Coturnix japonica: one gene and its partner. The protein of the gene in region 1 purifies or fractionates together with the protein of each later gene. This does not show direct contact. Links are inferred from orthologs where the notes say so. Each region holds a gene or a part of one and is shown on either strand. Other genes may lie near its edges.

The links. The genes of interacting proteins can lie anywhere in the genome.
Region 2: the proteins of TGFBR2 (region 1) and SMURF2 purify together in Homo sapiens (affinity purification with western blotting; 3 studies listed by BioGRID). This does not show direct contact. The link is inferred for Coturnix japonica from reciprocal best matches to the Homo sapiens genes TGFBR2 and SMURF2.

The regions. Positions count from the first base shown.
Region 1 is NC_029517.1:36,667,169-36,671,125, reverse strand, and holds the start of TGFBR2 (TGF-beta receptor type-2), read right to left. Parts: upstream 2,818-3,957; 5' UTR 2,677-2,817; coding exon 2,595-2,676; intron 1-2,594. UniProt on the Homo sapiens protein: Transmembrane serine/threonine kinase forming with the TGF-beta type I serine/threonine kinase receptor, TGFBR1, the non-promiscuous receptor for the TGF-beta cytokines TGFB1, TGFB2 and TGFB3.
Region 2 is NC_029533.1:7,225,760-7,229,277, reverse strand, and holds part of SMURF2 (E3 ubiquitin-protein ligase SMURF2), read right to left. Parts: intron 2,149-3,518; coding exon 1,938-2,148; intron 1,140-1,937; coding exon 1,036-1,139; intron 526-1,035; coding exon 411-525; intron 1-410. UniProt on the Homo sapiens protein: E3 ubiquitin-protein ligase which accepts ubiquitin from an E2 ubiquitin-conjugating enzyme in the form of a thioester and then directly transfers the ubiquitin to targeted substrates.

The DNA.
Region 1 (3,957 bases):
AGCTGGCTACTACAGAAGTATGAGCTAAAGAGCTCTGTACAGCAATTAAATAGAAGCGATTTTCAAAATCTCAGATACACCGTTCTCAGAACTCAGAGATACCTCAGAAGAAATTGCAGTAATATCTGTATTCTTCCAGTTATCTTCTGAAATAACTGGAAGTTTGCCAGAGCTTTGATGAGGGACAGGAATGCACTTTAGAGTCGATCATGCTACACACGTTCTGCCATGTTTTTCCTCATACTCACTCATGCAACTACCTGAAACTCTACGTTTGTTTTTATTTTATTACTACTAAACCAACAGACTACCACGTGGCTTCTACAAGATAAGGAGACAGTGATGCAAGTCAGCACCTGGATGAATGGCAAAACTTTATGCCAGATACAGAGAAATAAACAACTATCACACAGGTTATTCCAAAACACAAATTTTGGCTTTATGTAACCCAAATACAAATTACAGATTCACATCCTTTTGGACACAGAGGTGCTGTTTTCTTATATGACCAACTGCTGGTTTGCACAGCCATTTACTGATTAAACACTCAATGTAGCATTCATAACCATTCCATAACAAACACCCAAAAAACTAAAAAAACAAACCCAAATTCACATTCTACTCTTTGGGAAAAGCTTCAATAGCTTTTGTTTAGCACAGAACATTAGTACAACTCTTTCAAAGCAAACACTCACTATTGGATCTGCTCATGAATTTGTCATTTTCTCCATAACCCTTATGGGGATGTGCCACCCTTGTCTAGTATCTCGCTACAAAGAATGTTCAGATGAAGTTTTAGCTGGGGCTCTACTAAGCTGCTCACCACCAGGAAACAGGCTGTTAATAGGCACACCTGGGAAGTGCACCCTTCTGGGACTGGTATCTCTCCTGCCCCATCCTCACTGAGTTATTGATTATTACAAAGTCAGTTGCTCTTCTGTTTCGTTTCCCTCAAACAGCTAGCAGATATATTTCACATTTTGATGCCAATTAACAACCAATACTCCAATCTCTGTGCCCCCAGTAGCACCTGTACTTTCTGACCAGCTGGCTACACGAACAGAAACCTACAACCATTATTAAAACGTCATTTTCAACAAGTTTTGGAGCTACAGATTATCTGATCACAGGTGAACTCTGTTTCATAGACCACAAATCAAAGTCTCTAGTGGGTGAGTTAAAAAAACACAATGACAGGAGACTAACAAAAGCGGAACTTTTAAAGCTTTGCATAGCAGGAATAGGAACACACAACACATTTAGGGCTGGTATCTAAACAAAAGCAATCCTTAGCCAAGTATGATTTATATAAAGGAGAAATACAAATACATATCAAAATCAACAGGAAGCTGCACACCTCAAGTTTAAACCAATAACACGGCTGAGTGCTGGGACACCACCGAGTTTCATCTGCCCTACGCTTACATGAGTAACTTTGCAGGAATGTAAGACCTGTTGACTTTGACAGGATTATTAACAAAGCATGAAGTTATTCATAATGTACACAGCCACTGGCAGTGACTAAACAAGAGCTATTTGGTTTACGTTATTATGTTTTAGTGACCATGAATGGACCACAGAAGATAACTGGAGAGCTCAGAGCAAAGCTAGCAGAAGCTCAGGTGTCTGCACACCTCACTTGAAGGCTGAAATCAGAAATCTGGTATCACACAACACTTCAAAATGCACTTAATACTTCAAAACTGATTCAAGTGTGGTTTCTGTTTTTAAGGTTTGTCAGCTGTGCTGCAAAATGAGTTAGGGCCTAATCCTATAGGTACAGACAGTGCTGCACATCTGTGGGTTGGCATGGGTAGGAGTAGGACAAGTTGCTCTTCAGGTCAGGGACCTGGTTCTTGCAGCAGCACTTGAAACACTTCACAGTACCCTATGAAGAATCCTGCAAGCCACAGCCTTAAAAACCTAACTACGGATGACTTCATAAAGAAATGCCAGAGTAAAGGATGCAAAGTGCCATTAAAAGCGGATCTAATAAGCACTTTTAAAACACCGAGTGCTGCAGAAATGACTACTGTCCCCACTCCTGCTATCCACAACCACAGCTGACTCTTGCTACAGGCATTACCTCACAGGCTCACGTGTATCGTAACCCCCGGGCACCTAACACCGACCCCTCAGCTGCCAGCAGTGCCCGTGCAGGGGCCTCAGCTCGGAGAACAACGCCTCGGGCCCTGTGGCACCCACAGTCCTCTCCATCCCTGCATCTCTCTTTCTGTAAATCCGCCCCTGGGGCAGCACCCGGGCCCAATCCCCGGCTCCAGGTGCGGACGCTGCCCCGGGCCAGCAGTCAGCTCCCGCAAAATAGGATCCCGCGGAGTTTCCTGCTCAATTCTCACTTTTCTGCCCCCTTCCCCCTTCATTTTTTTTTTTTTGTCGCTAAGCCTCTCTCTCCGTCTTCACTTTCCAGGGGGGCGACAAACAAACGCTCTCCCCGCTCCAGCAGCTTCAAAACGTTCTTAGCAACTGAGCCTTCCTCCTCACCATCCTCCTCCTTCCCCGGCGGTGGGCGCTTGCCCTTCGGCCCCGGCAGCTGTCAAGCAGGAGCGCGGCGCCGGGGCCGGCCCGGCACTTACCGCGGAGCAGCGCGGGGCTCGAAGAGCCCACGAGGACCCATAGAGATACGCGCAGGAGCAGCGGCCGCAGGCGCGGAGGCATCGCGGAGCCGGAGCGGGGCGGCTGGGCCGGGCAGCGGGAGGCCGCGGCGGGGCTGGCGGGACGCGGGCTGCGCTGCTCGGGGCTGCGGGTGACTCACTGAAAACTTCACTTCGGCGCTGCAGGGGAAACAGGAAATCTTAAACTCCGCAAACAGCTGGGCAGGACTTTCTTACTCTTACAGTAGTTCCTTCCCCCCCCTTCCACATTAACCTCGCCCCCCCTACCCCCCCACTCTGCGCTGGCTCTTTTTCCTTCTTTCTTTCTTCTCTTTTTTTTCTTTCTTTTTTTTTTTTTTTTTCCTTTTTTTTTTTTTTTTAAAGCACGAAACCTCACCCAGTTGGGTGTCAATCATCTGCCAGAGGCCAGCCCCTCGCAGGTCTGGCTCTCCCACCGCCAGCGGGGCCAGCCCCGACGTGCAGCCGGGCTCTCTGCGCCCGCCTCCCGAACGGGGACCGTATGCGAACACCGCCCACGCCGCCGAGCCGCGATTCGGGCTCCAGAGCACCGTCAGTCCGTCCTGCCTTCGGGCCGCCCGGAGTCCGGCAATCCCGCGGCTTGAGGCCGGCGGCTCCCCAGATGTCCTCCCTGCATCCCCGATGCCGTGCCTAGCGATGGTGCTGCAGCCCGCGCTCCCTTCTGCAGAAGCCTGAAAACCCCAGATGAAGTGAAGTGGGGCGGCAGGGGAGGTTGAAGTCAGGGCAATAACAGGAAATGTTCGCACAGACCTGCCTGGCATTCAGCTTGCAGATACTGAAGCAGATCGTGACAACTTGTCACCCGCCTCTTTTTAATATACATATTTGCATTTTGGTCCCAAATGGACTAGATGCACACCATTTGATGTGTGTGACACAGGTGATATTCATCTCCATTCCTCATTCCATCTCTGCTGAGTTTTTGACACAGATTTCTCCAAAAGGAATAAATCATGCAGGGTATTCACAGAGTGGAAGCACAACTGTGATGCCAACCTTGCACTTCTAGGAATGAGAAGGAAGCATCAGACCCTTCTCATGTTTAGGCTGAATAAAGCCCGAGCCTTGTGCCAATAGAAATTCAGCCATTGGGTAGCAAGCAATTGTCTTGATACCTGCTTTTGATGCCCAGAGCCTTCCTTCCTTTCCAAGTTCAGTGGTATTGATGGAAAAGTGAATTGATGCATATGGTGATAATTTGAGAGTGTCTGCTCTGTTGTTGGTGATCCAGTTCTGTCTCAATTACAGCTCTGTTTTGAGGTACAGAATTGCATACTTCAGAAAAAAAAAGGCTGAGCCCTCTGTG
Region 2 (3,518 bases), on another chromosome or scaffold:
TATTCGCTGAACGTTTAATTAAATTTCAATACACCTTAACAACAACAAGGAAACCACCACCACCCAACACATAACCAGAGCTGTTTGATATCTTTTTTTAGTTTGTTTTTATATACAGCACACTGGGTACGTTGCTTCAAGTCCAGAGTCTTACTGTTAAGAATCAAAACAAACTCCATTTCTCCCAAAGGAAACATAAAACAATATCTTACAGAAAATTAAGATCATTTGAGATGTTTCTTTGTTTCTTTGATCCATACTAACAACAAATTATGTTATTTCATTCATTTAGTTTCTAGCAATATTAACGTGAGAACTAGATTCTTAAATCTAGAACATTATTCTCCACATGTACCTAACTGCTGGGTCACAAAAGCATCATTTTACTTAACTCCTATTGTCAGTCATACCGGGTTAACTGCAGAATCTGGGTTGATTTGCAGTGTGTAGATATCATCTCGGGAATACTGGAAGAGCCCATAGTATGGATTCAGCATTTCATGTGACAACAGGTAGAGCCACTCCCTGAAGAACAAGAAAGAAGAAAGAATTTACTGCATAACCTTAGATAAATTAATTTGCATATTGAGAATCTTTTCAATCTTTTCAAAGGACAGCTATGCACGTGTAGAAAGCAGAATTATTTTCACTGGTTCAGTAATGCACAGCACCTGTCAGCTGCCAGGATTTTCCTTCAAGTTGCTTTCCAAGAGTCACTGATTATGATTCTGTCACCAAGTTGACTGTTCAGTGGTGTACATACACTCCCAAATACCCAAGCTTTTCCAATTGATACAGGTTGCATCAGAGACACCTTTGGTAACAGGCATTTTGATTTATTTACAATAAATTCTCCTTGCTTTTTTTCCTTGAAAAGACTATCTGAGATATATACACTCTTCTGACATACAGCGTTACTAGAACAAATAGAACCACAGAATTTTAAAAGAAAAAGAGTCGTTGTCAGTTTGGTTTAGGAATCAAAGTGGTGCAGCTGGTGGGGCTGAGGAAAGGGATGGAGGACACACTGTTTACCTGGCAACACCTCCATAATCAAGACCTTCCTCCCCACGGAACTTTATCATTAATCGTTTCCATAGATCTTTTGGCCTCATCTTCATGACTTGCCTGTAAGATTCCTGTAAATACACAACACATTCTTTTATTAACTGCTATTTAGAGACAAGAAGCTACTACTGCTTATTAGAAACAAAGGGAGTCTCAGAATCTAAGCCCAAAGGGGATGTTGTTTTCCTAGAGACTGCTGTTTCTCCAATCACAAACTGTTACATAGCTTTCTATAAATGTGATAATGCTTGTCAAGTAAAAAATAGTGTGAAAAGCCAACAGTGGTACTTCTACTGACCAGAAGATATGCAAACCTTCACAAAGCATCTTAAGATGCTTAAGCATCATCAGCACCACCGCCATCCCAGTAAATCTATGGAATTATTGCTCTATCAGTAAGACTTCATCAATACAATATAAAAAGAATGCTAAAGAAAGAAACCAAATGCTCATTTTATAAATGGAATTAAATCAAAGGTTTTATTTATGATGCCCCCAATCTTTGTTTTTGCAGAAGAGAAGAGGCAGGCATGCCTGGGACGCTTCAGAAAAAGAATATAATAATTTCCACTCCTTTACAGCAGCATTTCTCCCCCTTCTTTTTCAGTTTATTATTAAGTGATTTGACTGTCTCCATTGGGAATACCAACACAAATATTTCTTGGCTGGAAAAATGGTGACAACGCAGTGGGGCTATCATGTTTGTGGGTGGAGTAAAAACACAACAGGGATGGGTGGGATGGGTGATAAAGTTTTTGAGACAAACAGGCTTCAGCATTTTGTCTAACTGAATGACTTCTTCAGACAGTTATGGATAACCCTCCTCCCCTTCCCTCAGTGTTAACAAATGGGTCAAGATCTCAAATTACCTCAAAAATCTCTTCCCTGGAGACCTCAATACGACAGTGGCCAGCTTGAGGTTGCTGCTGTGACAGCTCTTGCCTCAGGATCTTGAGTTTCTGCACCAGGTCTCGTTTGTACCTTGGCACAGTCAGACATTCTGCCTCATCTGGAAGCTGACACAGGGACACTACCTGCTGCTGCTGCTGGTGCTGCTGATCTTTAAGTTGATTCTGGCGGCTAGAAACAAACACAGCTGTTTGCAGATATTCAAGTCATACGTCTCCTGTTTTCTTCATGTGTTTCTTAAAGGTTAAGTCTTAGTAACTGACGTACTTTCGATTTACTATGATTACTGTGATTACACTAACAACATTCAGGCCTAGAAAAAAGTAAATTCAGAGAGATTTTATCCTGACTAAAGACATATGCTTCTGTCTTTCTTGGCAACTATCAGTTGTTTTTAGAGTTGGTTATTTCTATTAGTAGTACTCTACAAAGTATGTAAAAGGTTACAGCACGATATAATAAGGTATTAACCATACAGTTTTACTACTAAGCTGCTGACACTGAATTTCTCAGATACCATTTCCATATTTCCTTTGCGTGTTTTGCCTTCCTCCAATTTAAAATTCAAGGATCAGCCAAACACTATGCCTCTAATCTACACTCAATACCATAGTCTGTTTTAAATGGCTTGCATGAAAAAGAGTAAGCTTACAAAAAGATGTTTGTACTGGCAGCTTGGCAAGGACCTTGTCCCTTGTACCTGGCCTAGTCTGGACCACAGGAATGTGGGGAGCTCACATGTAACTAACTGGCACAGATAAGCAAGTATTTTTACTAGCAATTCTAAGAGATTTTGTAAATCTGACTTCTTACTGGACAAAGTCAGTTTTGAGCAGAGATGTCCTTTCTCATGTCACTTCTCAAGTAGGCCTTTTTGCATGGCTTAGCTTTTTAGTGTGGCACTTCCAAACAAGAGGACAAAAGCTGTATTTCCCCTAAAACTTGAAAAGCCTCTGTGCAGGACATGTGATAATGCCCCAAACTGACTGGATAAATAGGAAAGGTCACAATTTAGATATATATTTTTTTCCAATGCAACGTCAATTTATTTTTTTCCAACAACAAAACCAAACATATGAGACAGAACCTCACACAACTTCAATACCTCTTAAGATTTCAGTCCATTGCCTGTTTTGAAACAAAGTCTACTGAGAAAGCTCCCCTGACCAACCAAACTTCATTTCCACCGGGCTTTCACCACCACAGCATTCATTTTTGGCAGTTAAAAAAAGAAGTGGGAGTGTTCCCAGTTTGCCCTGTGGTTCTGACAGCCATTCGGTTATTTTCAAACCTTTTATTTAAAGTTAATTTGCACAAACCACATTCAAGTGAAATTTACTCCAGTCTACAGGGATCATCTATATCCTATGTCTTACAAACCTACCATCTAGAAGCCCCTGCAGTGACACACATTTGGATCAGCTCAGCAACAGCTGAAAGCTTATTCTTAATAATATTATCATTTTACATCTGGGCTATAAGAAGAAAATAATGCACAGCAACCCAATTCTGTCATGATGCCTTAGGATGCAATACACTGG